4 linked regions of the Struthio camelus genome follow. The protein of the gene in region 3 interacts with the protein of the main gene of each other region in a biochemical or structural test. Links are inferred from orthologs where the notes say so. Each region holds a gene or a part of one and is shown on either strand. Other genes may lie near its edges. The genes, in order: TBC1D10A, EZR, NHERF1 and ABCC4.

Evidence for each region.
Region 1: the proteins of NHERF1 (region 3) and TBC1D10A form a complex in vitro, tested with the Homo sapiens proteins (2 studies listed by BioGRID and IntAct). The link is inferred for Struthio camelus from reciprocal best matches to the Homo sapiens genes NHERF1 and TBC1D10A.
Region 2: the proteins of NHERF1 (region 3) and EZR form a complex in vitro, tested with the Homo sapiens proteins (2 studies listed by BioGRID and IntAct). The link is inferred for Struthio camelus from reciprocal best matches to the Homo sapiens genes NHERF1 and EZR.
Region 4: the proteins of NHERF1 (region 3) and ABCC4 form a complex in vitro, tested with the Homo sapiens proteins (3 studies listed by BioGRID and IntAct, with this or other methods). The link is inferred for Struthio camelus from reciprocal best matches to the Homo sapiens genes NHERF1 and ABCC4.

Annotation. Positions count from the first base shown.
Region 1 is NC_090958.1:4,806,344-4,813,716, reverse strand, and holds the start of TBC1D10A (TBC1 domain family member 10A), read right to left. Parts: upstream 3,013-7,373; 5' UTR 3,004-3,012; coding exon 2,798-3,003; intron 1-2,797.
Region 2 is NC_090944.1:77,387,664-77,394,811, reverse strand, and holds the start of EZR (ezrin), read right to left. Parts: upstream 3,010-7,148; 5' UTR 2,789-3,009; coding exon 2,777-2,788; intron 1-2,776. UniProt on the Homo sapiens protein: Probably involved in connections of major cytoskeletal structures to the plasma membrane. In epithelial cells, required for the formation of microvilli and membrane ruffles on the apical pole. Along with PLEKHG6, required for normal macropinocytosis.
Region 3 is NC_090960.1:7,868,561-7,876,543, reverse strand, and holds the start of NHERF1 (Na(+)/H(+) exchange regulatory cofactor NHE-RF1), read right to left. Parts: upstream 3,016-7,983; 5' UTR 2,976-3,015; coding exon 2,574-2,975; intron 1-2,573. UniProt on the Homo sapiens protein: Scaffold protein that connects plasma membrane proteins with members of the ezrin/moesin/radixin family and thereby helps to link them to the actin cytoskeleton and to regulate their surface expression. Necessary for recycling of internalized ADRB2.
Region 4 is NC_090942.1:166,326,171-166,333,652, reverse strand, and holds the start of ABCC4 (ATP-binding cassette sub-family C member 4), read right to left. Parts: upstream 3,002-7,482; 5' UTR 2,895-3,001; coding exon 2,821-2,894; intron 1-2,820. UniProt on the Homo sapiens protein: ATP-dependent transporter of the ATP-binding cassette (ABC) family that actively extrudes physiological compounds and xenobiotics from cells.

The sequences.
Region 1 (7,373 bases), on a different chromosome or scaffold from region 3:
CAACCGCAGGAGAAAGCCATTGGGAGGAACTCGAACACAAGTGACAGCCCGCATCTGTTGGGACGACAGCGGGGACATCCTCCTGTGCTCTCGTCCGCAGAGAGGGCACCCGAGTAACGGGGCTGCCACCACGGCGCCTTCAGAAGCGCCCCGAGAGGTGACGGTTCGTTCAGAGGGGCACGTGCAAGCCAGCTGCCTCCGGCTACAGTCACTGTGGGCAGGAGAGCTCCTCCATCCAGGAAAGAGCCTCCCACTTTATGCAGTGCCGAGCGCATGAATGAATTAACCGAGAATGATCCCGACAGGCAGATGAGGGATTTGACACCCACCGAGAGAGCAAAGCACCTTGCCCAGCAGCCGAGCAATCAACATTTCAGCAGCTTTTCTCCCTAGACACCAGTACTGGGGGAGCAGAGTTAGCACCCACAGGCTCCTGGCTTACGAAGGCTTCCCACACTCAGGAGGGATGCACGCTTTGCTCCTCATAGATGGAGAAACTGAGGCATGCGGCCCAATCGACATCAGAGCAGGCGAGCGGGGACAAGAGCTCAGACATGTCAGTGCGCAGCCCCGGCACCCCTCTGACCTTCGGGGAACTTCACAGACGCGCTAAGAATACGCGCACCGGGTGAGGGGGGGGGGGTAAACAGCTAGGTCCTGCTGGCTGGGGGCCAGGCCAGATCAGCTGTCACGCCGGCCCCGCATCGGCCACAAGGGCGTCCAGGAGCGTCCTGCGAGGTGCAAATCGCAGGGGAGCCAGTCCTAGGTAAGGCCACAGCTAGAGAGGATCAAGCTGCCACCTTGGCCACCTGCCCAAGCAAGGTCTGATCCCTCGCTTCTCTGGGTGTCGCTGCAAAAACATCATCGCCAGGAAGAAAAACATGCCGCCAAACCAGCTCCCCAGGACCTGGGGCGGCCGGGGCACATTCCAGCGCGCCTCGCAACCAGCGCCACCCAGCTCCGCGGCGGAGTCTGGTGCTGCGGGACAAGCCACGGGGCCAGCACGGCCACTAGCCCTCCTGCCTCCCAGCTGGCTGCCAGCAAGCCTGGCGCTGCTCTGCTCAGAGCTGACTTCAGCAGCCTCGCTTCCTCCCACCATCAGCTGCGCGGGGCTCGGGGAGGGCGGGAGCCCTTCTGGAGGCTCCTCCGATGGCTTCCTCTGCAAACGGAGATCAGCCGCCTTCCCCTCCTCGCCATGGCCCCTCCAGTAACTGCTTGCTTTTCCAGCGGCTACAGATGTTCCCGACCAGCCTACGAGTTCCCCTCGCAGGAAGCCAGCACCCAGGAGAGCCAAACAACGGCACGGCCTCCCCCTGTCAGACGACGGCCAAAAATACGCAGGAATCCAGCGCCTGGACGAGAACAGGCCTCAAGGTAACCAGACACTGACATCACCGAGTGGAAGGGGAGCGAGCAGGCCTTGGCGTTACTTACGGCGCTCAGCAATTCCTCCCTCACGCCTCCCCCCGCCCAAGGCGAGCGCTGCTTTCTAGCCTCTCCTTGAAACTGCTCCAGCCCCCTGCGTGTTTCCCTTCTTCTCTCCTCCCAGTCAGCCGGCAGGGGACACGGGAGAAGCTGGAACAGCGTTAGGGGCTCTCCCAACTTCCCCTGCTGCCTTTTTTCCCGTTGCAACTCCCGTTGCTGCTCTGGTGCAGCAGGAAAGCCGTCCACGTGGACCCAGAGCGTCGCTCCTCCAGCCTCACGCTCCGCTGTGGGCGCAAGCAACGCCGCAGGACGTCCCAGCTCCGAGCAGCGGAGAGCCCACAGACAGTCGCCGGCGCCAGAGCGCAGGAGGCTGGGGAAAGGCAGAGGACCCTGCACCGTCCTGCTTCTGTGACTCCCCCAAGAAAATTTAAACAATTTACAGCACGAGGCAGGAACACTGCCCAGCAAGCTTCGGTCACTTCGAGCGACGTCAGAACGTCGGCAGGAGCAGCCTAAACAGAGGCGCTGGGGACAAACAACAGCTCTAGATCACCCTATCCTGGTGCATTCCAAGATTCACACTTTGTAGGCTCAACATAGCCCAAAATTCACTTCTCTCCGGCCACAGGGACTGTTTTGTTTTCACTATGGTGCCACCGAGCCAAAGCTGGCCTTGGAGCATCGGTGTTTTGCAAGCCAGCTTTGAGACGGGTCTGCGTGGGATGCTGGGCTGGCTGACAGCTGAACTCTGGATTCCTCGAGGTGCAGCACTTCCCCGGCACCCCCAGCCGCCTCGCTGCAGGCAGCGGTTTCGGGGAGCCGGCTGACGCCGCCGGGCAGGGACGCGGTGCAGCACGCCAGGGAGGCGTCACGCACCGCTCTCCTCCCGGGCGCTGCTTGCCAGCCTCGCGCGCTAAGAGCCGATACGAGAGTCACGAAAAAAAGCAGCCCGAGGTTTATTGCGGGTCGTCCACCCTGCTGACAGGGTTTTACCCCAGGCACGGGGGGAGGTTCCCCCCGGCCCCGCGGAGCCCAGGCGCGGGAGCCCGGCCACCGAGCAGAGCCGGAGCGCGTGAAACAGGGCCCAGAGGCGAAGGCAGTCGGCGGCTGCGGGGAACGCGACCCCCGGCGGAGGCCGCCCGGCCCCGAGCGCGGCGGGGAAGGCGCCAGCGCGGGCCCGGGGCAGGCAGGCAGGCCGCTGCCGGGCCGGGCCGGGGCAGCGGGGCAGGACTCGCCGCCCGCTCCCCGGCGGCCGGGGCCGGGCCGGGCGCCCCGCAGGCCGCGGGGGCCGGAGGCGCCGCCGAGCCCCGGGCGGCCCCGCGGCTCCAGGCCCGCCCGCTCCCCGCGGAGCCGCCCCCGCCCCGGCACTCACGGCCCCTCGGCGCTGCGGCTGCCCACGATGAAGCCGAACTTGTCGACGCGCCGCTCCTCGGGGCCGCCGCCGTTGACCTCGGAGTCGGAGCCGAGGGAGCTGAGCTCGTCGCCGCCCGGCTCGGCCGCCAGGCTCTCGCGGGTGCCGGCCAGGCCGCGGCGGCTGCCGGGCGAGCCGGGCCCGCCGCCCCCGCGGCTCTTGGCCATGGCGCTGCGGCGGCGGCGCGGCCGCTCCCCCGCGCCGCCCGGCCCGGCCACGGCGGCGGCTCGGCCCGGCCCGCCCCCGCCGCCGCCACGGCCCAACCGCGCGCCGCCACGCCCCTGCCCCGCCGGCCCATTGGGCGCCGCGCGGGGGCGGGGCCGGGCCTCCCCCTCTCGCCAACCGGCGGCCGCGGGGAGAGGCCGGGCCGGCTCACGCCGGGCGGTGATTGGGCGAGCCGCCGGGCGGGAGCTGTCCGTCAGCGTGAGAGACGCCGTCAGTCAGCGCGGGGGCGGGGGCTGCGCCGCCGCCATCGGGGCCCAGCGCGGCGGCCGCGCCGGAAGCGCCGGCCGAGGGGCCCCGAGGCGCCGCTCTGGCCCGGCGGGCCGGCAGCCCCGGCCCCTGTTGGGCGGCGCCGCGCGGGCAGGAGCCGCCGAGACTCAAAAAGGCTCGTCTGCCTTTTCCCTCGCTGTGCAGGGAAGCTGCCGCCGCCGCCGCCCGGCCCACGGCAGTCTGGTCTCGGGCCACGCAGGAGCGCCGGCCCGCTCCGCCTCCCCCACGCCGCGGGAGGGAAGCACATGGGCCACGGCAGCACCGCAGCCCGCAACGTGGAAACGGCCGGGAGGGAAGCGCCCCGTTGTTTTTGAAGTTGGGGCGGCTCCAGTGCCCGCTGGCAGCTCCCATTTCCTCCTCCGGTTGTGCTGTGGCCGGCGAGGCAACGCATCTGCCTCTTCTGCTTTGATTTCAGCTGCTTTTGCAGACGCGTGGGGTTGTCTTGGTGCTGAAGAGCCAGCGAGGGAACGGGCCGCACCGTAGTCCCTCTCTCTCTGACCCTGCAGTGGATTTCCTGCCCCTCCAGCCCCCAAAGGAGCCTATTTCACATCCTCCTGGAGCTCCAGCAGCTCTTTCTGGGCAGCGTCCGCCCCGAGGCTCACCTCTGCCCCGGGCCCAGCCAGGCACCGAGGGCTCCATGGGGCAGCGCAGGCGCCCTCAGCTTCGGGACCATTTCACAAGATCATTTCAGAGGGGAGCAGCTCTGCAGCCCAGGCTGTCAGATGGCAAAGCCATCACAGAAGCGCCAGCTGGTGACAGAAGACTTAAAGAAGCCATCAATTTAGTCTCCACCACCTGTGTGATCTTCTGCCTCTCCTCATGCTCTCCTAGGGCACCAGATACAACCAGCAACTCCTCATCTGCTATGGTCAGGCTTCAGTGGCAAGTCATATAGACACAGAGAGCTGTTTCACATTATCAGAGCTCAAGCTGTGAGAGTCGGTCTGGTTGTAGGGCTGGGTACTGCAGTTAAAAGGCAACAGGCTCACAAAAAACATACTTTAAAAGGAAACTACACGTGCGTTTGCCTTTAAAAGCATGCTGTAGTTGTGATTTCCAGCACACAACCACAAACTGTCCCCCAGCTTGGCCTACACCAGTGCAGCGTAAAACAGACCTGCCCATTTCTCTAGAGAAACCCTTTTGGTTACCTCTCCTCCGCTCTGCTCCCACGAGATCAACCTTTGCATCAAGCCTTGAAAAATCTCTCATATTACAACTGCAGCTTGTACCAGGACTCCCTGGAGAGGGAGGGGAGGAAGCAGGGTACCAGGCACACAACAGCTCAACTGCCAGCAGGGCAACACCGCGAGCAGGGTCACCAGCAGAAGCATCTCCCTCACATCTCAGCTGGACAGCAGGAGTGAACCGGCAGCCAGTGAAGCCCACAGATCCCAGGTCTCTGCAAACGAGCTGCCGCTATCTGCGAGTCTCTTAGTGGCCTGAAGCACAAACCCAAGGAGCACGCTGAAATCTAGCGGAGCTTTCTCGTCTCTACCTCACACAAGTAAAACTCCTCCGGCTAGTCACAAGGATCTAGCAGGGCCCAGCACAAAGCAGACTTCAGTGTCAGCACTGGGTCTTTCGTCCAGTACAGGTCAAAATGGATGCAACTTTCCACTGGCAGTTTTGCAGCGAGGAGGCAGCCTTAGAGCTCCTTCCCTGTGTCCAGACCCTTATCACCCTCTGATAAAATTATGACCCCATGCTGAAGGCTAAACTTATTGTGGCAGTAACACAAAGCATGACTTTCTCCCACGAACAGCAAAGCAGAGGGGCTTTAATAGAGTCAAGACCCCTCACAAACCTGCAAGACATCAAGTCCGAAGGGCCAAGGAGACTGATAGGTTAATTCAGGTGCTGGCTTTATGGGCCTATTTTCAGATTTTTTTCAGGCAGTCTAAGCTTTGCAGATCCACCCCACTGAAGTGGAAGGCCCTGATAATAGTTGTTTTGTACTGGATACACACACACGCAGTCTTGTTTTAACATTCATCTGCAATATTTAGATAGAAACGGGCTGGCTGTTGGCAAGTCTCCACGCAAGTTATTTCTAGTGCTCTCACTTGGAGGCCAGTGCAGGAAGTTCTCCTGCAGGAATGCTGGGCTGGGCACTCGGCCCCGTGCAGGATGTAGTCAGACGCTTGTAGAAGTAGCCTGACTTTGTTGAAGACCGAGCACGTCACCTAAGCACCAGCACAGCGTTCATCCAGAGACACCTAGGAAATAAATGTCTGATAAGGGAGCGCAGATGATGCTCCTTGCATCAAGCACTATGGCAGTTCATACTGCATGGGTGCAGCCCAGAACAACAGCTGGATGACCTTAAATGCAGCCCCATCACGCTTGGTGTCTTACACAGGATGTAGAAACATCACTTCTCCATTTCAGAGCTCTCTCTTCCTTGCAGAGCTGATCAGCTCTGGAAAACACCACTTGCTAGCTAGCTATGCACATGCTGTTTTAGCAAACTGCTGCCTCCACTGCAATGACTCCAAGCTATGCCACCGAGTGTTGTTGTCTCCAGGAGATTGTACCTAACTATTGTCTAGTTTTTACAAGCCAAAAGTAATTAGCACGCCTTCCTGCAGGGCAGGAGCACCTCTGTATCCACAATACACCCAAACACCCTGCCCACAGCTGCAAGAAGCTGTTAATTCAATATCCTACAGCACCAGAGCAGGCTGCGCTTTTGTGACTAAGCGCTGTGCTGTTCTCAGACACGTGGGCATCCGACACCGGCATCTGTCAAAAACAGCAGCTGGCTTCCATGAGCTGGGAGGACCGCCAGCCACCTGGGTTGGGCCTGGGCCAAACACCTTTCCCACACCACTATGATTTCCTCTCTCCCACCTACCCTCAAAGATGAGGGCACAAAGGGGACTGTAGGATGTTGTCCTGTGTAGGATGTTGAATCTCTCTCTCTCTCTCCTAAGCACAAAATAACAGGATGTTAAAAGCTAATGTCTATACCCCAAAAATCATAGCTTTGGATTATCCTAAAAGGAGAGCAGAGGTACTAGAGTCACGTGGCCGCTGCTGGGCAACAACAGACAACAGCATTTTCCTTGACCACTTATTTACACATAGATTTTAATGGCTATTTTTTGTTTCACCATGTTCTGTGTTATGTTTGCATCAAACCGTGACACAGCTATGACTGACGGTACAAAAATAATCTATTTTTAGAAGCTAATGCTCTCCGTGACCAAGAGATGATAGAAGCACAAAGTATGTAATGCATTTTACAAGGAAATTCTCACTAGTTAGATTTAAATTCAGAATAATCTGTCACCTCATACATGGACATAAACAGCAATTATATATACACCTGTATTACAATATGGGAATAACTGTGTAGTCTTAGAGAAGTTTAACAAAAACCCTTTCTTACAGCTTTTCCTATGAAGGAAAAGCTTTTTCTATAAGCCAACTACAAAAAAAAAATTCCCCACAACGCATCTAAAATTTGAACACTTTAAAGCCAGGCACATTTCAATCTTTAAAAAAAAAAAAACAAAAAACATAAAACCCAAGGAACTAGAGTTGTTATAGACAGAATCCCACACTAAGATGGGTGTTTATTAAAACAAATCACAGACTGTACAGAATAATCATGAAGTTGTTTAGCATGCACAGTCCCAGATCATCTTTATCATGACGAATGGCAGTGTGCACTCATACTGAGGGAGGATAAAATTCCAAGTCAGGGTCAGTGCAAGAGACTCTTGCAGATAGGTCAGAGACAGAGAAAGAATAAGGAGTGTATTAAGTATATCGAGAAGAAAGTTTTCAATTAGAAAAAGATTAAATGAAGTGGCAAACACTGTAGTCAGATGATATTCTTGATCAGTATAAACCCCTTCTACAAACAAAGATGGAGCTAATCTAAGCTGGGCATGGCCTCAATGCCACTTCATTAGGGAATTCAATGGACAGATAGCAAAAGCGGACACCAGCATTCTAGCAAAGCATTGATCACTAAAAGCCTGCTGCACTTACATATTAGGTCACTACATTTACACAACTTTCATGGCCCTATTCT
Region 2 (7,148 bases), on a different chromosome or scaffold from region 3:
TGTCACACTTTGCAGAACATCCATGCTAAATTACAAATTGAAACTGCCTGAAAGCATTTATATTAAAAATATTTATTTCAGTTATTTTCTGGATAGTTAGAATTTATTTTGAGCGCTGTAGACATGCATCAGAAAAATCCAACTAATTACTTCAAATATGGCTACAGAATCTGGAATACAGTCAATTTTCTAGCACTTTAGTGATCATGTATTTTAGTTGAAAAACCCCCAGTGTTCTAGTGTTAGTGCACTTGTTGTTTGATTACTGTAAAAGAAGAAACTTCAAAAATGATGCATAAGGTCTGCTCGAGTGCTTATTTTTTGTTAAAACAACAGCTTCAAAGATTCAATTTAATGGGTTTCTTGCTAAAGTTTTGGTTACTGATTGCAAGTCAAGATTTTAAGATGAAAAATTGATGACCAAATTGTCAGCGTTCACCCATAGCAGCATGAAATCTGCAGGCAATGTTATATTTACTTACACCAAGCAGAAACAACACATGCAGACATGTGTGGAAAATAAACATTAAGTATTCACATCAAATATCCAAGAGAAACTAAGGCTGCTTCTTTGTGCTCCCTAGGAGTTTATACTGTTGTTCCTCAAGCATGCCAGAGGTTGTTGTCCTGTTCTGAGTGCAATTCTGCTTCTGGACAGACAGCTTTACATCCCCTCCCACCATGCCCTGCAAACTGATAGGAATCCTATTTAATTGTATTAAGAGCAAATGAGCTGGGCTGGAAAGAATCCAAATTCATTGCCTCAGTCTGAAACAGTCAGGCTAAACCGTTTTATTAAAAAAATCCCTGCAACAGTCCTCCATTTACAGTAAATTGGTAGTTAGCAATACTGATAAGCAGATTAAGTACAGATTTTAAAATAATGCTTATACTATACAAGAAGACATTGCCACACAGCCTTGGCCATAAATCCCAGCCAGTAGGTCACATGTCTCTGAAGTTATTAGTACAGTTGACAATCGTCCTTCCCCTGCGGCTTACACCATCCACCTATCACCATTTTGTCTGTGCTGTTCACCAGGTAGTCAGCCAACAAGGCAAGAAGCCATATCAGCATCCATGAGGAAACATGCACAAAACTAGGCCAGGTAAAAGGAAGAACGTGGCTGTAAACAGGTCTTTTTTGCTTGGTTTGGCTTTTTTTTTTTTTGGGGGGGGGGGGGAACAGATTAAAGAGTTTTTCCACATCTATCCATGGCTTTCAGTATGGATTAGTCCTAGACCAGGATTTCAGATTATTCTAACTAGGGTATTCCATAGACAAGAGTCTGCATAATTAGCAAATGGCTAATAACACAGTTTTTTTATACACATATGCACACACATATATACACACACAAAATTTATGTTCATGCTTGGTAAATTAGATTTTCTACTCCAGCCTGCAAAAGGTTATTTTCAGAAGATATTTTAATATGCAGTAATATATCAGCTACTGCTAAAATATAATCTAGGGGAGACTAAAGATACAGAAGTTCTTAAAATGATTGTGAGCATTAGTTTTTATTGGAGGTTTACAGAGACCACAACATAAATTAACCTAAACACCTCATTTCTGAAAGAGGACAAGTTAAACTAACTTAAATGTTATGATAAAATATTAATTGCTTACTACCTTAAAGATAAGCTTATTACCTTAAAGATAAGATGCACCTAATAGTCACATAAATCCTTCACGACACTGCATTTTAAGAAATATTGCCTCTATTGGAAAAAAGATAGCAGCAATAACATGGTCCGACTATGGCCAGAGTTCAAAAATGTGTTTGCTCCAATGACTACTTAGGGCTTTACATTAGGCAGCTGGTCCCTCAAGAGACTTGCTGTTTCTAACCGCAGAGGGGGAAACAGATTAAAAAACCCTCACCCCCTGCCAGCAAATCTATAATTCGGGATGCAACAACGATACAGGGACCGAGGAAAAAGAGGCCGATGAAGAAGGTTTGTTCAGTTAAAGGGCAGGAGGGGAATGCTTTTTTCTGATGACGACCAGGATGGACCAGCAGCAGTCCCACCTGCAGCACTGCAGAGAATTGCACTAAGAGGCCCCGGGATTTAGTTTTTAGATCACAACACAATACAAACAAAAATGAAATTTCTTATATATTTACAAATACACGTGATTCCTGCGTGGAAATGCATACCGCGGATAAACACCAAGAGCAAGTCCGTGCTGTTTTGCCATCTCACTGTGAGAATATGCCCCCCAAAAAACAAAGAAAACACCCCACACCTCTTAAGAGCTACTCCAGAGGGCTGCATTTTTCCAGACACAGGACTGTTTCAGAAAACAAAATAACCCACTGCTCGTCCTCTTTGGAGGGGGCTCCCGAGGCTCTTCCCCGCCGGGGGAGGCCGGGGCGCGGCGCTGCGCGGGGCCCCGACGCCACCTGCTCGCCCACCGCCCCGCGAGCGCGTTTAACGCTTCAGCATCGCGCCGCGGGGCGCGTTGGCGTTTTTAAGCGAAGCTGCTAAGCGGCTCCAGCCATCGCTTCTGCTTGCACGAGCCACCTCTTCCGTCCGGGGGCTTCTTACACGAGCCAGGGGTTACTCGCACACGGCGGGGGCTCCGCGGGGTTCGCCGGGGGCGCAGCGCCCCCCCCCCCCCCCCGCGGGGCAGGCGGGCACCGCGGCGGCAGCGGCGCGGCTCCCGGGGCAGCCCACCCCGCGGCAGGCCGGCGCCCCCCGGGCCCGCGGCGTTGCCGACGGACGCGGGCAGGGCCGCGCACCGGCTGGGCCCGGCGGCCTCCCTTACCGGCTTCGGCATCTTCCGCGGCGTGGAGCGTTTCCTCTTAGTCCAAAGGCAAACGTTCAGGCACCAGCTGTCTCGCCCCAGCCGAGGAGGAAGGAGGAGGAGCCGCTCCCAGCCACGGCGACGGCGCAGCCCGCGAGTGCGGCGCCGGCCGCCCGGCGGCGGTTAAGTACGCAGGTGGGGCCGCGGCCGTGACTCACCGCCGCCTCCGCCCGGCCCCGGCCCCGGCCCCGGCCCCGGCCCCGGCCTCGCCCCGCTGCGGCCGGGCACCCCGCACCCCGCGCCGCCGGGAATCCCCGGGCGGCGGCAGCAGGTGCCGGCGGCGGAGAGCCCCGCCGCGCCGAGGGAGCCCCTCACCGCCGCCGCCGAGCCTGGCGGCAGGGCCCCCCCGCTGCCCCGGCCTCGAGGGGAAGGGGCTGGCGGTCGCGACCGCCACGCAGCACTGGCACCGCTCGTTGTGAGACGCGCTTCTTGTATTTAACGTAAAGTTCGTCGCCGGTCTCTTAACAGCTGCGGTGCGTCTCCACGTCCAGAATCAGGTGATACGGTTACCTTAAGAAAAACCCCAAACCCACAGGACTAACTTTTGTATGAAAGACTCTTTGCAGCAATGATGGCGTGGGAGGGAAGTCTGAAAATCCACCCAGGCTCAGAAACCAGAGGGCCAAGAGAGCACAAGCTGAACGTAGTTACTGTAGTTGATCGTGATCTTTAGTCAAAACTCAGGAAAGATTACGAGAGAGTTTAGAGACATACACAGATGACAGTCGGTGGCTCTGCCCCTTGCTTCTTGTCCTTCCTCGTCCACAAACACAGTGCTGCGGCTCAGGTGGCCGCCGGCTCCGCAGAGGCTGCTGGCCTCCTGCAGCACTTCGCTCGGCTGCGCGCGGGAACAGCTTGCATTTACGCAGTCACGGGCAACGGCCTGCAGGCCAAAGCTCTTCCTGCGTGCCCGTCACGGTAGCAGTAGGACTAAAGAAATGGTGCAGCCTGCTCCCAGGTTCAAGCAGCATGTGGCTGTTTCATGAGAAAAGGCATGATGGGCTAGGAAACGGGAGCCACAGAACAAGGGGGATAACAACCCAGAAGATGAAAAAGATATGGAGCAGGGAAGAGCCTGGAAGGTGTCAGTGGATGGTAACAAAAAAGATAGCACTAACAGGACAGGACCTGCACAGCAGAAGAAGATAGAAATGGTGTCTTAGCTTGAAGAGTCCACTAGGCAGCAGTTGGTACTGCCACATTAAAGAAATTATTGCTCCGTCAGGTCTCTGAAAGAAAGGGGAGGGGAACTGAAGAGGAGGCTGACACTGTTACCTCCCTTCCCTGTTGGATGATCCTAGGGCACTAATGGGGGCTGTCCTGTCAAAACTGAGCTATGGGGATGGCAGCTCAAAACAGCAAGCGAGAAGAAATAGTCTGATGAAGCTGAATGGCTCCTAAGAAAAGGCTCCGGGATCAAACAGCCATGGGAAACAGATATGGCCTCAGTTTCCAGATGGAGCAATTCCAGTGAAGCTTTGCTGGGATCAGGTTAATTTCACAGAATATCATTTGTGAGGGGGCTTTCTACACTCTTCTGCTGAGCAATAAGTTTATGCTAGGATCCATGCCCTACTCAAATAGGATGGTGCTGGACGTGGACCAGATCATAGTATCACTGCATTTTGAATAGATGCTGCTAAGCACAAGAAACAAATATTCCAAGTACAGAATACTTTAAGAATCCATCAGCTTTCACTCAGATCCCTAAGCTGTATTTTTTGATTTTTGGGGGGTGGGGAAACATGTAGGTGAGATATTTTCATTCCTTAGTCTTAACATCCAGACTCTGGCTGTGACTAGATGAAAAAAAAGCCAGAATAAACTAGTGTCTGCTTACACTAGAAAGAGGCAGTTGCACAAAATTTAATGGAAAGCTCATTTCTATCCTGGGAGATTTCCATCCCAACAATCCTTTCCTGTCCAAAGCTTGACATGGGCTCAGAGGCCATCACCCTGGGCCTCTGTGTTGGAGCAATTCCACGTTGGAGTGATGCTTCATGTAATAGATCCGAATCAGATGACTTGAATCAGTCGGGCAACTGTTTGTTTCCGTATGTTAGTTACAGATCCAAGCTTAAAACTGGGTTTTTTTGGTTTCGTTTTTGTTTGCTTGTTTTTGTTTTTTTTTACACTTACTGTTGCCTCCTAGCCACAGAACTAAAAGTAAAATGAGTTTAGGTGACTAATAATTGTTACGTCAAACAGTCTTTAGGTTCCTGTTTGCCACCACACATAACCTTGTGCCATTCTGCCACAATCATCAGCAATGTATGGGGAGCGAAAGATACCTCAATGGTATCCATAGCTACTGCCTTACTCAACATAGCCCCACCCAGAATCAACCAACATGAACACGCTGAGCTTAAACAGGCAGAATTGTCTTCTGTGGAAGGAACCAGAAAAAACAGCAGGTTGCAGCATACATCAGAGACCCTTGGCCTCCCTCTTGGGCTTCGCCTAGTGCTAAATGTGTTTTTAAACCCCCTTGCCTGCAGAGATTGGGTGTCTTACTAAACTCCTGGTTAGGTAAGGTTTCAGCAAGGTGCCTTTGTCACAATAAGAAATACTCTTCTATAATTGGGTCCTGGTTTCTGCCCCCGGCCCCCCAGTGGATTGGAAGAAGGCTTGTGATATTATTCCCTTCTGCCTTTTTATATAGAAGTGTATTCCTCCTTCGCAGATGCAGTACAGCTTCCCTTTGCCACTAGAGGAGGGTGGAAAGCCTCCAGTTCTCCTACTTTCCTGACAGGCAGCCTATTGAATTTTTGGAGCAGGGGCATCGTGTGTAAGACTGATACGCATGCTCTAAGAGTGCTTACAGTTTAAATCCCTTTTGGAGTTTGGGCAGGAGAACATCAGAGCAGGTGTTAAAGGGGTGCAAAGCAATCAAATCCCATCAAGACAAGGTTTGAGGCAGAACTCTAAATATGAAAAACAGATACAAATATGCAGAAGTAAAAAAGTGAGCCTGGGGAATTTTCAAATGAGAAACCGGTGGGACTTGGCTACTTCTAGATTTAGGTATTGGCTTAGCAGGAGAGAACTTACACAGCCACCCTTACTACAGGATCTTCGATCAGATCTCACAGCTAACTAACTGCAAGACCCAAATCAAAATGAAACCAGCCTTCACTAGTTCTGGTGCTCATGGAACAACTAACTGCTTTCAGATTTGGTCCTTTAAGTATTCTGGATCTCCATTTCCCTTAAAAATCCTGAGGGATGGTATTTCCCCTACCCCAAGAACTGAAGTGCAAAAAAAGTCTAGTTCTGCCTTTAGTAATCTTTCTATTCAGTTTCTTAAGTTGAATTTCAAAATGAAACATACAACGTACATAGAAACTAAAGCAAAGACTTGTATACATGACTCATTTAACATTTGTGATGGGTTGTCCAGGTGCATAAGGGTTTAGCAGCCAAAATTATTTCAGATAAATTAATGCAAACAGTTGGATGAGAAACTGTTCAAAATCATGACTTGGCATTTTATCTCATGTTGTGTATTTACTAAACTTAGCTTCTCATTCTGAAGCCTTTAAGTTACAGCATTAAGAGTTGCTCTGATAAACCACTTACTCTTAACATGCTCTATTAAGAGGGTAGCATTACTAACAATTTACAGGAGTTACTAAAGCAGAGGAGGTAATGAAAGGACCTAGATTGCTCAGCAGGTCAGTAGCACAACCCAGTTTCTGCTTTCTTGCCTGTAATAGCTCCTGTACCTTACTGTCCACTAAGCTTTTCAGCCACCAAACTGTGTCTTAAGTCAGCCTGCCATCAGCCTGACCATCAGTCATCAAGCCTGCCTTCCCTGTTTTAAAGAAAAGACCCATTTAATCTCTTGTTCTACCTTAATTTTTAATAACCTTAATTTTATGTATGTTTTGTTGTAAAACATACATAAAGCATTTGTCAGAATTTGCTCAAGAAAGTCCTATTGCTGTAAGGTGGCTTTTGCTAAACAGGTTTGGTGCCAGCTCAGTTCTTTGTCAACATCAAACTTCCTAAACCTGATCATCCTGGACTGGTAATTATGGAACATATGTGTCCTAAAATGCTATCCTTGGTTGGTCACGCAAAATCAGTGGTCTCAGAAAAGTCAAATCTCAATTCCTTGTTTCTTCCTATAGAAAGCTTTATCCAGGCTAAGAACTTCTGGCAAGGCATAGCTGGAATCTCTCTCTTTGCAGCATCTCTCTTGGCTGGTTTGCAGTTTGACTCCAAGGCTTTTTTATTAACTGGAAATTTATAGTAGCTAACTCTGTCCTCTTAACATTGTTCACAAGCCATGCATTCAGTAGAGCAGTTAAAAGAAAATATATGACTTTCT
Region 3 (7,983 bases):
CAAAGGGCAGGGGACACCATGCCCAGGTCAGCCAGCTCTTTAAACCGCCCTCCCCCAAAAAAGAGACCTTATCTTAATCAGATCCAGCCCATTTCTCCAAAGCAAGACAGAGGATCCTTAAAGATACAGGCATGCATAGGAAGTGGCACAAGTTTGTCAGCTCACAACAGACAGGAACCATCTGATCCAGACTTTGTCCTCCAATTACCATCGACCACAACCTGCGTCCTTAAAGTGCCTTGGCTGGAAAACCCATGGCACTCCTGAGATAACAAGGTGTCTGTCCCGTAACACAAGTGACTGGTTCCAGAGGGCTCTGAGCCCACTATCACTGTCCCAGCTGGAGGATCAGGGACAGAGCCGTCCTCTCTCCAGTAAGGATAAAAGGATGTTCCTGGCTGTTTTCACCTGGGGAAAACACCTAGGGAAAAAACACTTTGTCCCTCTCATTCAGACCACAGAGGAAGCGATCTGCACCCACACAGCCACTCCAACTGTGGAACAACGCTGTTAAGCATAAAACAAGGCTTTAACAAGACCTGCCTGTTCCAGGAGGTCCCCAGGCCGGTATGTCCCCACCGCAGGTCAGCCAGGCCAAAGGGGAACACACACTTGGCACTGGGCTAAAGTCCAACAAGAACATCAGCAGAACTTCTGCTCCTCTGCAAAGCCCTGTGGGACGATGGCTTAGCGAGGCACCGAAGTCCATCCACTCCCTCCTGACACCCTGCTCTGAAATCCTCATCCCTCTTGGTTCCTGTTTTGCTCCGTAAAACGGCTCAGGAGATCTGCAAATCAAATGCAACTCTCCCTCAGCCCTCCTCGAGGCACAGGTCTGAGAAACATCCAGCCAGCGGGCAATACTCAAATGCTGCAGTGATTCCCAGCCGGGCCCTAACGCTGCTCGGGCATCCACAGTGTGACCGCTAGGGATTTAACACACAGCCTCAGCAAAACATCCCGGGAGCCTTTTGCCTGGAGGCTCAGCATCAGCAATGGGAACACCTGCAGGACCTGACCCTCCTAGGGGCTTCCATGGTGCATGGAGCCAGAGCAGAGCTTCGTTAGCCCCGTCTCACCTGCTGGCAAAGCCCCACTCCTGGCTTTTTAGTGCCTGGTCCCTTGCTCCACAAAGAGGATCCAGCTTTGTCTCAGGTGGTTAATCAAGGAGGGTCCCCAATAAGCGATGAAGCAGCCTGCTGCTACTACAGTTGCATTGCTGTCACAGATAGTTTTTAGGAACAGGTTAAACCACTGCGTAAGAGCTGGCATCAAGGCTTCCTCAGCCCCTGGGATAAGCTGGCTGACCCCAAGGGCCATCCCAGCCCACTTCTGAGGAAGACCATCTCCATCTTCGTCGTAACAACAAACACATGTTTTCACTGGGTAAATAAAAAGCAGTATTATCGCAGGCAGCCAAAAGCGTCTCTTAGAAACCACTCTGAGTAGGAAAGGTCAGATATTTCTCAACTCCTTACCTCTCTATATTGCTTTGTTTGTGCAACGGCTAAACTCCCACGCGCTGTTTAAGGCTGACATTCCCGAATTGATAAGTGTCTGTCTACAAAGTCCTACGGGCCGCACGGAGCAGAGCCCCCCTTCCCAGGGAGGTCACCATCGTTTCTGCTCTGCGAGGGTACCGTGGCCAAACACTGCTTGAGGCACGTCCCAGCCTCGAGGGCTGAAACCGCAAGGTGAGGGGATGCAAACCACAAAAAATTGCAGTCATGGCCCCCAAATCTACCTTCAGCCAAGGCTTTTGGTCTTATTTTGGAGATGTTTGACACTAATAAGGAGAATCTTAATCTCTTGAATATAAATAAAGGAAAAAAGGGGCAATCTTGCCTCTGAGGTCCTGCCACCCTTTCCCTCAGCAGCAGGCAGGGCACAGGGAAAGCATCGCCTGTCCCAGCCCCCAGAGCAAACACCTGCTTGACTAAAGCTCAGAGCAAAGCGTTTCTTCCCAAAAAGCACCCCGGAAGCTCCCAGCATGACCTGACAGCGAGCTGGCAGGTTCACACTAAACCACGGGCTGCAGCTACCTGTTGACAGAGCCAGCAGCAGCTGCGAGCAGTGGCATGCTCCGACAGTTTCCTGTTGGATTTCTGACCCTGTTTTACTGGTCCTGCAGCAGGCGGGCTCCACGACACGAGGTGCTACTTGCTCCCAGGGTCCTGATGAGCCCCATGAGCCCTCTTGCCTTTGTTTATGTCCCCCCCCAATGCAGCTGATAACAAGTATTATGCAAAAAAACTAAATAAAAGAGAGACGAGCGGCCCACACGAGCCCGCTGGCTCCTAGCCTCCCCCGGGCGCTGCTGCAGATAGGTCTCCGGGTGCCTTTTTTTTTTTTTTTTTTTGGAGGGAAGTGCACTTCAGGCGCACAAAGCGATAAGCACCCGACTGCGCCCACCGCAGGGAGGCCTCCGGGCGCAGGCGGCACTTGCGATGCCTTGGCCACGGGCGAGAAAGAAGGAAGCGGGTCAGCGCTCCTGGGGAGCCGCAGGAGGGGTGCGACCACCGCCGGGCCGGCCCGGGGGACGCAGACCGCCCCCCCCCCCCCGCCGCTCTTACCCGCTCAGCCGCCGGGCTCCGCTCCTGCCGCGGGGGCTCCGCCGCCGTGGCCGCCTCGTCGCCACCGCCGCCACCGGGCGCCGGCTGCTCTCGGCCGGCGGCGGCGGCCTTGTGCCGCTGCTCGTCGGCCCGCGGGTCCACCACGAGCAGGCGCACGGCGCCGGCGGCGGCGCGGATGCGCTCCACCACCTGCTGGTGGCTCTCCGCCTCCACGTTGTCGCCGTCCACCTCCAGCAGCCGGTCGCCGGCCCGCAGCCCCGAGCGCTCGGCCGGCGAGTCCGCCTCCACCAGCCGGATGAACTGGCCCGGTTTGCCCTTCTCGCCGTGCAGGTGGAAGCCGTAGCCGTTCGGGCCCTTCTCCAGGCAGCAGAGCCGCGGCCCCGGCGGCGCCGCGGAGCTCATGGTGGCGGCGACGACGGCTCCCGCGCTGCCCCGGCCGCTCCCGGATGAACCTCCGAGCCGCGGGCTCCGGCCTTTATACCGAGGGGCGGGGCCCGGCAGCGGCGACGACCAATCAAGAGCGAGGGGGGCGAGCCCGCAGCCAAAGAAGGAGCTCGGCGGGGCGGGGATATGCAAATGAAGATGCGCGGAGCCACGCCCCCTTCTCGTCGGGGCCAGAGCGCGGGGCGGGGGCCGGGGGGCAGCGCGGCTCCGGGCGGCCCCGGGCGGCCCCGGCCTCCACCGGGCTCTCGGGGCCGGGGGCTCCAGCCCGGAGCAGCCGCCGGTGCTTGCTCCCCGTGGGGCCCGATCGTTCCCCCGTGGGGTCAGATCGCTTCCCCGTGGGGCCCGATCGCTCCCCGTGAGGCCGGATCGCTCAGCGATGGGGCCCGATCGCTCCCCGTGAGGCCGGATCGCTCAGCCGTGGGGTCAGATCGCTGCCCCGTGGGCCTAGATCACTGCCCTGGGTCCGGATCGCTCCCTCGTGGGGCGGGATCGCTCACCCGTGAGGCTGGATCGCTCACCCGTGAGGCTGGATCGCTCACCCGTGCGGCCGGATCACTCCCCTGTGGGGCCGGATCGCTCCCCATGGGGCTGGATCACTTCCCCGTGTGGCCAGATCACTCCCCCGTGGGGATGGATCACTGCCCCGTGGGGCCAGATCACTCCCCCGTGGGGCCAGATCAGTCCCTCTGGGGCCCGATCGCTCCCTCGTGGGGCTGGATCACTCCCCATGGGGCTGGATCACTCCCTGTGGGGCCGGATCACTCCCCCGTGGGGCCGGATTGCTCCCCGTGGGGCCGGATCGCTCCCCACGAGGCCGGATCGCTCCCTTGCAGCACCCCCGCGGGACGGGAGCGCTGCCCGGCCGGAGCGCCGGGGCACGGCTGCCCGCCTGGCCGGGTTGCTCCTCCAGGCCCGCGTCCTCGCCTCCCCGTTCCCGTCTCCGCGGGCTCTGCCTGCACTCTCCCGTCCCTCTCCCAGGCGGGACGTGGGGCCAGGGCGGCCCCGGGGTCGGGGTGGGCTTTGCTCTCCCTTCCTCTCCACCCCTAGAGTCGCTGCAGGCGCCGGCTGCTCCTCCCGCAGGATTTAGGAAGCTCCAAGTGGGGTTTAGCGCATGCTAAAACAAAACGTGCCAGTGCCTTTGCCCGGGGCCCGGCCGGCCGGGGAGCTCGGGCAGCGGGGTGGGAGCAGCCGGCAGCGCGGCGGGAAACCTTCGCCGTTCTTGGGAAACCAGGAAACTTTTTCCTTTGCAGGCGCCCAAGGAGGGGACACTAAGAATAGCTGAGGCAGAGTCGGATGAAACAGCCGCTTTTGTTGTTTTCGGAGAGGAAAAGGGAGTAGCGCTGGCGTATTCCTGCGGCCATCCTTAGCCAGGGCGTTCCTCGTCAGCGCCGTCCGCTGGGCCTTGCCCTCGCCCCCGCGGCCGAGGAGGGGCCCACGGGCAGCAGCTCCGCACCCCCTTCCTCCCAGTCCCCTCTCCCAGTTTGACCGTTTTCAGCTCCGCTCCCGCTGCTGGGCCGTGGGGCTGCTCAAAGCAGAAATGTGGAGAGCTGCGCTGCCCTTCCAAAACGAAAAAAACCAAACAGAAACCAGATTTGCACGGGAAAACGGCACAGGAGGCAGCGCTTTCCAGTAACCCGCTGCGCAGCGGAACCGAAAGAGCAGCCCAGTTCCCCAGAGCATCCCCGGGCCGGGCTCCACCTCCACTCGGCGCCCCGGCACACAGGCCTGGGGCGCCGTGCGCGGGGCCTGCGGGGCGAGGGGAAGCACCCATGGGTGCTGACCTCAGCCGGGGAAGCAGGAGAGGCCGCAGGAGGAGGTTATGAAAGTGCGAGATCCCGGTTCTCCGGAGCAGCCGGGGCCGAGGCGAGGGCGCCCGCCGCAGCCGGCCCCGGCGCCGCTCCTCCTGCGGCGAGCGGGGCTGCCGGGCCTTGACGGCTGCCTGCACCCAAGGCACCTTGCAGCGGCCGCGGTGGTGATTTCAGCGTCTCGCTGCCGAACTTCAGGGCCCGGTTAAAATTAAGATTCGTTGCAGATCTTCGCAGCAGTTGGGAATCACTTTTAATTGCGTTACAGCCGAGCAAACAAGCAGGAGGGACTCCAGCACGCTCGAAGAAGCGTCCCTCCCGCGAGGGTTTGCACGGAGCACCCTGCGAGGGGCAACGCAGCGTGTTGGAAAGGGCTCGGAAACCTCAGGAAGGGCTGCACCGGTCACACCAACGGCTCTGCAACCCAGCATCCGGCCAAGCAAACGCTCGCGTGTCCTGGGGCTGCGTTCAAGAGCCGAGGGTGGGCTCATTTCTTTCCTCCGCTCTGCTGAGCGTCAGCTCGGGGCCGTTCAGCCCTGGGAGACGCAGTGGCAGGAGGCAGATCGAGCGTTGAGCCTTCTCCGGAGAAACAGCGCAGCGCACCGCGCGGCGCTCGCCAGCAGCCCAGCAAGGCAGAGCCGTCCCCCCCCGGAAGGAGGTTTGCCAGCAGCGCAGCCCCCCGCGCGCGCACGCGTGTGGGCGCGAGGGGAAAGAGGGGACGTGCTCTTCGGGAGCGCTAGCTAAGTCAGGAAACAAAACCCAGTCCTAGCAAGGATGGTTTTAGCACGGGGACCCAGATAAGGAAGCGATGCAGCACAAAAGGAAACAGCCAGAGGCGCTTCGGGGCCAGGCCCCCCCAGCACCCGCGAGCAGGCAGGATACCGGCGGCACCGCTCCCACCCCAGCTGCGTCCTCCTGCCGGGGCTCTTCGCAGCTCTGCGTGACGTGCAGAGAGCTCAGGCTGCAGGACAGAAAGCAGAAAAGAGCCAACGTCTGTTTGTGTTGCAGCTAAGCAGCCTTTTCTGCCGACATCAGCCAAGAGGCAGCAGCAATGCCATTGCTGGGAAGAGAGAGTTATTTGGGGAATGCCGGACTCCGCACCATGCGAACAGCAGGGGAGGAGGTCGGTTTTAATTTAACAGGCCGTGTTTACTCTTCCCCTCTCACCTTTGGACCGCCTGAAATCTGCAGCGTAAGCTCCGGCGAGGCGGAAGGGGCCGCGGCGCTCCCCCCGGCGCCCCTGCCTCCGCGGCAGCCCCCGCGCCGCCCCGGCCCGGCAGCCGCCCACGTCGCGGCCCCGGGTCAGCGCTTTCTCACGCGCGCTCAACCGGGCAGACGCCAGGCCTCTAAAATACCGAGCTTTAATTCTGTAAACTTGCAAAGAGAGAGAGAGAGAGAGAGACCCGTGAGCGGCGCGGAGGCAAAGGAGGCGCCAGGGCAGGCGGGAGCGCGGGCGCCGGGCCAGGCAGGACGCCCACGGGTCGGAGGTGCGCGTCATGCCAGGACTCCCACCCGGGGCAGCCCCTCCGCTTCTGGTCTGAGCAGCAGGTCTTGAGCTATATAACCACGCAATCAGCGTCTTGCACCCTTTTCTCCCCGCAGGCGCGTCCTGCCCTCCGTGCTACCGCGGCGTGCGGGCAGGCAGCGCGCTGGAGACGTCAGCAGCCGCTGTCCGCCGAAGGAAGAGGGAGGCGATGCAGGGTCCGCAACGTGCCCCCAGGGCCCCTGCAGCTCCTACGAAGCGCACACAACAGTGCTTGCTGCCTGAAGCATCTTAGGCATCTGCTTGCTCTCTAGAGAGTGGGTTTAATCTGCTGTTTGCCAGTGGCAGGAAGAAATATTTGCATTACGTGCACAGCAATGGGAGGAAACCTCAACCAAGATTTTGGGCTGGGAATTTATAAGGTCTCCCATTACCGCCTTTGCTCGGTCCCAAAGCCTAGAGCTGAAGCAGCAGTCAGCAGCTCCCTGGCTATGTCCAGAAAGAGCACGTTCGAGACCAAAGGAGAGACCCAGCTCGGGGGAAACCCCATGGGAACAGGGAGCTCCTGCTCATCTGAACAGGGCCAGCGCGAGGCCACACGCCAGTTTGGGCAAAGCCTGAGGGCAGGTACCTGAACCAGACTGGGGGCAGGAAACGCCCGAGATCGGACAGCAACGTGGCCAAGGGGCCAGGAACGAGGACAGAGCGAGCCGCCGCAGCTCGGCACAGCCCTGCGCGCGTACAGGCACACGTACGAGGGGCCCCGCAGACTTACCCACATCACGGGGCAAGGAAACCTGGACAAAACAGACCTGCGGAGGAGGAACCTGGTGGCGAGGGAGCCGCCGCTTCCCTGTGACGCTGGAGAGGGCAGCGACCGAGCTGGAAGGGGCCGAGCGGGGCTGGCGAGCTGCCGGCGTCCTCCCGGCTCAGCTCGCGGGCAAGGTAAGGGCTACGCACAAGGTGACGTGCCCTGCGGTGGCCTGCGACAGGGCCGGGCTCTCCTTCGGCGGGAGCCAGGTCGTCTCTGCCCCGGCAGCCTCCCCGGTGGCCGTAAGCTGCTGCCCAGAAGCAATTCCTCGAGCCCCGACCCGCACGGCCGCCCCTCTCGCACGTCCCCTCCGGGCCGCTCGCCCGCCAGAGCGGGAGCAAGGCGAAGTAGGGCTGCGTTTGCTCTCCTGAAACACCCGGGCAGCAGCGAAAAGCCAGGGCCAGAGCCTGCCTGGGGGCAAGCCGGAGCCCAGCAGGGCCCGGGAACCAGGCGGCGGCGGCTCAGGCCGTTCACGACATCAACGCCGGGAGCAGAGTCGGCCGCAGGGGAGGCAGAGGCACGGAGGCAGCGTGAGGCGGAAAGCCAGGCTCAGCCCTTGCTGAGCGAGCGAGAAGACCCCCAGGAGGCGTGGGGTCCCCCTCGCCCCCGCGGCTGGCCGTCGCCCGCGGCCCGCGGGGAGCCCCAGGCTCGGCCCCGGCGGGGCAGCAGGATCTGGCCGCCGGCCTTGCCGGCCCCACCAGACGTACCGCTGCGGCAGCGGTCCCCAGCCAGGGTGACAGCTCTGCGTGCACGCGCAGTTGTGTCCCGTCCCCGTCGGGACCCTCCGCATGTGGCTTCCTGCAGGACTCGAGGGCAGGGCTCCGGCCGCCGCTGCCTCCGGGGCCGGCCGGGTCCCTCCCCGTCCCC
Region 4 (7,482 bases), on a different chromosome or scaffold from region 3:
GATCCCATTTCTGCAACACATAGTAATTTCAGCTCTACTTCTACACCACTGGCAACAAAGGGGGGGGGGGGGGGGAGCCTCCTTACAACAGCAAGATTGGATTTTTGGAAAAAAAATAAATAGAAGGGGAAAAAAAAGGGAGGGGAGGGGGGACACCTGCCCAGCTGCCTGCAATGCTGCTAATAAGGACAGAAAGTAGGGCTAACAGCCAGCAGCTAGGGTTTGGGCAGCACAGCAGGCCTGCTGGAGCAACCACATGTCAGTGGTTGCCGCTACTCCCCGGACAGCCCTCCTCAAACACTGTTTTTCCAGTTCTCCAACTGAAAACATCTCTAAACATCCTGTGTGAAACAGCACTTCCAATGAAGCAGTGCCAAGAAATGCTTACACAGTTGTCAAAAGCTGTGTGCTTCGCAGAAGCAGTGAACGATTCCTAAAGCTAACTTTAAGGGTAGATTTATAGCTAGTGAGGTTCATTTTAATCCTTTCTCAGTTTTATGTAAAAAATTATTAACTTGCAGAAAGATGACATCTCCTAGATCCTCAATTTAAGCCACTGCAGACATCGCTTCAGCTGAATTTTTCACTGAAAAAATACTAAAGCTTTTTGACTAGCAAATAGCTAGAATATACTGGTATTTGATGATCACATGCAGCATAGGTAGAAGGGTGGCATAATGTTGCTGAAGCCCGTGAAAGCCTGGCAGATAGCATACAGAACTTTTTTTTTTTTTAAATTCAGTAAAACTTTTCACATGCTATTAAAAACTTACTTCAGAGCACAAGCCCTACAGTGGAGCCCTACTATCTGAAGACTAAGAAATGTAAGAAACTGTAAAGTAAAATGCTCCAGTCAATCTCTGAAATTTCAGGAGGCCTATCATCTCACAAACACAGGGCTCCTCTTCCTCTTGCCCCCTTGTAGAATAAGAACCTACAAATGTGTATGGGGTAAAAGGAACCTTTTAAGTGCTTTCCTAAAACTTGAGAAATTTTAAATGGCTTTTGTGGGTGCTGCTGAACAATCCACTGCAACACCCAGAGAGCAATAAGATGGATGATGTGAACAGTCAAAAAAAAAAAAAAAAGTCACGAACACTGCACACTTCCTTTTTCACCTCTAGCAGAACTGCTTTTGGCATAACTACTCGTGGCAGCACAAGACCCCTGCAAGAAAAGGTGAACAGAGCAAAAGCAGTGCTGCACTGCTAAATGGCCAACCCGTAGTTTATCCCATTCTGCCTGGATTTCCTAGCAAAGTTGTTCCTAACATGGGCACCCCAGCGCTAAAAAAAGAAATTACAAGTCAAACTGCTGAACACAGGCAGCTCAACAAAAGCATGCAACCTGTTTTTTGCACACAGTACCTCCGAGGACATTTCCTTGACCGAAAATGCGTTTAGCTAAAATCGGTCAGGGCCTTTAAAATCCCTCCGCCTTCTAGAAAGGATCCCTGCAACTGCTCACAGCTGCTTTTAGGATCGGAGACTTTGGTGTTGTGTTTAAGAGGCTTCCAAACACAGGGGCCTCACGCACCATGCCTTCTCTTCCTTCTCCACCAAGTACTCCGGCACATGCACCCGGAGTTCAGGCGAAGGTGAAGCAGGGTAAGTACGTGTAGGTACCTGTACCTCTGCACCTGTTCTCTTCCAAAGGGGTCCTGCTAAGATGGACAAGCTTGATACTCCCCCTTTGCACCTTGCATGTCTTCTTTCCTTACCGTATTTCAATGCAGTGAAACTACCAGACCATGATTCCTCCCTGCTTTGAGTAATTATGCGCATCTGCGCCAAAGCCAATGACAGTAACAGAACAAGCATTAACTGCGCTGCCACAGTAGTCATCTGGTCCAGCATAGAAGTTACTGGTTTCCGAGTATGCTTGCGTAAGCGCCCCGTTCCCCGCCTTTGCTCTGCGACACCTCAGGCCCCCAGAGAGTCAAAGCAGAAGACTGCCCTTACACTGGGAAATCCCTAAGCAGACTACGCAGTTCAGAGAGAAGAGAGGAGAAGAAAAAAAAAAAAAAAAAGACTCCGACAGGGAGATCAGCAAGCGCTCTCGAGATGAGCGGTACCTGCCGCCGACCCGTTATGCGAGCAGCGGCGCGGAGCCGCCGGCGGCAGCCGTGCCGGAGCCGCTGCCAGCACCGGGCACCCCGGCGCGGAGCAGGCTCCCTGCCCGCCGAGGGGATGCAACACGTGCTCGAGCCGAGCTGCAGGGGCACCCTCGGCCCGGGGAAGCGGTATCAGACCCGGGAGAGCGGCGGCGGGGAGGAGACGTGGGACCGCGCTGGCAGCCCCCGCCTGCTCCCAGCGGGGCTTCCCGGGGTGGTACCGGCGCGCCGGAGACGCGGCTCCCCGCAAGCGGCGGGTTAGCAAGCTTTGACCTCAGGAGACCTCGCCTCGGCGGCGCCGCTCCCGCCTCCGTCGCCGGGAGCCACCTGCGGGCGAGGGGCGCTCCGAGCCGGCGGCGCTGACACGTGTTAACCCGCCAGGCCTTCGCCGAGCCGCCTTTGCAGAGTCACTGCCGGGAGGCGCCGGCGCTTCCCCCCCCGGGGCGCCCGGACCCTCGCGGGAAGCCCGAAGCGGAGTTGGGGGGGGGGGGAAGGAGAAAGGAGGCGGCGGGCCCCCCGCGCCGGCACTCAGCATCCCCCCGCCGGCCCCAGAGCCCGGCGGGAAGCCAAGGGGCGGCGAGGCGGCAGCGCCAAAGTCCCGGCGCGGCGCCTTCCCCGCCGGCGGGCAGCCCCGAGGCCGCACCTCGCGGCGCTGCCGCCGCCCCCCCCCCCCCCGCCTCCGCTCTCGCCCTCGGCCGGGCGCTCACCAGAAGAAGAGCCGGGAGCAGAGGTTGGCATCCCGCAGCGGGTTGGGCTTCTCTTCACGGGGCACCGCTTCCATGCCGCCCGCCAACCCGCCCGGCGGCAGCGGCGGCGCAGCACCACGGCCGACTTCCCACCGCGGCAGCCACCGCCGCTTTGCCGCCGGCCGGCGCTGTTTCCGGGAGAGCCGACACCCCCCCACCTCGTCCCTCCCTCCCGCTCTCCCGCCGCAGGACGCCTCCTGCCGGCCCGGCTCCCCCGCGACGCCCGCCCCTGTGCGGAGACGGAGACGGCGGCGTGACGGGTAGTTCCGCAGGGCCGCGCTGAGGCGACTGCCGCCCTCCGAGACGGCCGGGGAGCCTCCCCGCGGCGCTGCCGAGGTCCCTCCGCGGGGGAAGCGGAGCCTCCCCTCTCCCTCCCGCGAGGCGCTGTCGCCCCTTGAAGGAGCCGCTGCCCCTCCCGCCGTTGAGCGGCCGTTGGGCGGCCGTTAGGTGCCTGGGCGCGGGCCGAGCCCTCGCGCCTGAGGGGAAGCGGCCGCCCCGGGCGGGTTTGGGGGGGAGGGGGGGTGCTCCGCTGTCCCCTCAGCGGTTGGTCGCCTGTGCGTGCCTGAAGCGAGTTCACTTTTTTTGCCCTCGTGGCCCTCGAATAAAAGGCTGTAAAGGCCGCGAGAGTTTGTTTTGTTTTGTTGTACTGAGCTAAGGACATCGCCCTGTTTGTCACGCTGTCGCAGGCTGCCGCCGAGTGATAGTACCGTCTCCAAGATCTCTTCGGCGGTGCTGTCTGTGAAATGCTGCCGCCGTGCCACGTTGTTGCGGGTTGAAAACGTTATTGTCCTCTCGGCGCGGACCGCACCAAGCAAGGCACCCGCAGGCCTGACTAGGTGGAGAAACAAGCCGCTAGTGAGGAGCAATTGCAGCCTCGTGGGACTGACCTGCCAGAAACACTCGTTTCCACCTCTCCTTCCTAAACATTGCAGCGACTTGTATTAAAACACACACACACACACACACACGGGGGATGTCCATATTCCGAATTACAAGAACAAGGGCACTGGGGCAGCATGAGAGCAGCCGGATGCTGGTCTGAGTCTGCAAACCGGTGCTATCTGCAGCTCCAGTGTAATGATGTTGAGGAAAGTTTGGTGGTACAAAAAGTACCCCCAGAAATAAACCAGAATACATACACACACACACACACACAGACACACACACAAAAAAAGTAGTTATTTAATTCCAAGAGAAGGTGCATCACAGAAATCCTTGAAGCCCTTCTCAGAAGTTGGGTGCGATCGTTGTCAGGGCGGACGATGGCCGTACTCCTCTCCGCTGTTGTCACTGGGGCTTGCCGCAAGGGATGGGCCTGCAAGCAGTGGAGGGGACTGCAAGAAATCTAAGATAATACAAAGGTGAGGCACGTGTCTGAGGATAACCAAAAAACTATTCAGCTCAGTGAAAAAATACCAGGCAGAGTAGGTGTCTGCCATGCCCTAATTTCTCTGCGGCCTCCCAGACCCCTTTTCCCTCCAGCTGAGCCAGCTGCAAGGCAAGTCTCCTGTTTATTCATCTTTCGCCCTAGGAGCAACCAACCCTATCTCTTCCTGCTAAAATGGCTTATCGGTGAAATAGTTCCAGTATCTGATTATCACTATAGGTACATAGAGTTGGCACACGGTGAAGAAAAAAGAGGGTGGTAAGGTCTGGGCTACACTGTGCCATCCAAGAAACAGATTCACTTCACGCTTGCAAGGATGTCATAATAACCATAACACAAGTAAATCAAGCGTAAGTTTGCTATCAGTTGATAGCGAGGGAGAGAGGTGAGAGAGTTGGCAACAAAAAGCGTTGGCTGAGCATACTACAGGATTTTGCAAGCGATAGGTAGTACACTTCTCAGCACCTGCCTATAGATCTGTCTGGATTAAAACAAAGAAATACACTTAGGGAACTGGTGCAGTGATTTGCAAGGGCAGGCTTTAACAAAAAAGTGCTTTGTGTATTCCAGAAGAATTAACTTAAGTCACCTCCCAAAACATCTGAAGACAAGGTCTGTCCGTCAACAAATTCTGGCAACCTGGGTTTAGATTTCTGAGAAGCAAATTTGTCTAAACAGATATGAATAAGAGAATAAAAGGCATGACAGCCCAATGCAAGTCCTAAAACTTCAATAAAGTTTGGGTCAAATAGTGGAGGAAAGGAAGATGTAAATCTTTAAACTGGCATCTATTCATGAATCTGAAACAAAATCAAGCCAGATTCTTGCAAGGAAAGATTATCAAAACATTTCTTTGTTTGGACAAGAAAGCAGAATATTAGTCATGAACAAGTAATTTTTTTTTAAGAACACAAGATCAGAAAGTAACTTTTTCCAAGATTATTGTAACGGTAGGAAAATGGCAAAGAACAAACCTCAAGAAGTAAATTTCGTCTTTCCCAGCATTATCGGTGACAATTATTGACAAAATATAATTTTATAATAAATACTGCTGTCAGATTCCCATGTCTGAAACAAAACTCTATAGGAAGGTTTGGAGAAGGGAAAACTAAAGATTTAGCAATGCCCAAAGAATTATAATAAAGTTCAAGAGGAAAAGAAAAGCCTGAAAGCCAAATTAATCAGTAACTCTGTCAAGTGTACAAGTAACCAATGGAAACTGATGCAGCAATAGAGAATTGTGAACCAGTTAGAAACAGTAACAGAGATGCTCTGGAAAAGCTGAGACTGCACATGGAGAGGAGAGAGGAGGGAAAATAGATAGCACAGAGTAAGGAAATTAATCATCTTTATTTTAGGGGAAACGAAAAGCAACTGCTGATTTTTTAGTTATCCGTTGAATATTTTCCTGTGGTAACAATATATTCACGGCATGGAAGACTAAATATGCAAACAACCTAATCGAAAGTTAATATTACATAAATCCGTAATAAAGATATCAGTCTAGCAAAGCCAAGTACTCAGATTAGTCAATGGCCAGATTAAGCGAGTGTCATTTGAATTAAGCCATTTATGCGTATACATTATGCTATGGTAATTGGACGATCACAAGGGATTCCATAAACATACAAACACAAGTTTCTGTATTTATTCAGTATTCAAAAAGGACATATTCATTAAACAAGCCTCTGTGCAAAGCATGGTTTTAAATCCTCTTCGCTGTACTCTCTCCTCGTTCTGAACACAGTCAGAATCACCAGTTTCTTCATATTCCTTTTCTGTGGCACTTACCACTCTAGTATGAGGCGTTCACACACATCTGCTTTTCACAAAACCCTTAAGAGATAATTGGGCAGCTTATCTGCCTTTCAAGTGGTAAAGAGAAGCGTGTGGATCTTAAGGCAAAATATAGCCACTGATTCTGAATATGCAATCAGAACCAAAGGCTTAATACTTCTGAGAATGTAGCACTGTAACCTTTCACAATCAGGCAAGCGCCCATTGATTTCGGCTGAGAGGCGAACAATTTCTGCAAGTCACACCCCAGCATCTCAAGTCAGGTACCTGGAAAACAAGGACACGTGCCTGAGTGTGTCTTAAAAGTTTGGATAAACGATTTAATGAGCACACTACATGATATCTCTGAGGCAGTACTAAGGGCAGAATCAGATTCAAAGCTGTTTGAAAGACTTCAGAGGCAGTAGTTTTCTGAAGACAAGCTGTCGTAGCAGACTGTGAAAGCTTTACCACAGTGCATTGTTTAACTTTTGATCGAAGCCAGGCAGAAAGACAATCCATATGCTGCGTGACAAACCAACTAGACAGCTCCGTTTCCTGCCATGCCATGGGCAAGAAAGCAGGCTGTCCGCTGGCTGGGAGCCCAGCTAGTCACTATCCAGTCTGTGGCCTGACTCATCGTCTCGCTGACGTACTCAGTGAAGAATAGTTTCTCATGCTCCTGCAATACGGATAGATAGGCCTGTTCTTGTTCAGCTGCAGAACAGAAATGTCAGTGGTGCAGAATCAAGCTGTAAGTAGTTTGCTGTTTCCATCTAGCTATTAGTATATAATAGCAGCATTTTTTCTCAGATACTTTCTCTTCTTGTTGCTCTGCTAGCCATCTCTATTCTCCCCGTATCTTTTAACTACCTGTATCAGTTTTCTACATGCCATAGTTTCTAGTTTACACTAAACGTAGGTGCCTACTGCCGCTGTAGATATGGTAGGATATTCCACTTGGCTGCTAGCCACCACTTCAGAAGGCTTCAGGTCTTCCATAGCTTCTGTGCTGTATCTGCCAGTCCCATGCCAATGTCTCAAGTGCCTTTTAAATGGCAATAGATATCTACGTTTAGGCAACTGAACCCCATCCTTACCATCATCACTTCTGAATCAATATGGGTTTTAGGCCAAAGTCCTCTCCATCTTTCACTGCAACATCAAGTCATTTTGGCCAATAAGATTTTTCCTAAAGAGCTCTTAATTTCCATTCACATTTTTCTGCCTACGTGTCACACCCACACATACATACACACAATATTTCTGTTAATTTTCATAGTTTAGTTCTTTTAAATTCATTGTTGATGTTTGGATGCCCAATTATTTCCTTCATTAAAAAAAAGTTACGCTCAATTATCCGTAGCGTACGGCAGTTTCTAGTGATTATCTGCTAAGATAGGATTCAAAAATAGTTACTTTCTATTAAATTCAGTATTTATTGCAATAGAAAAGTATCA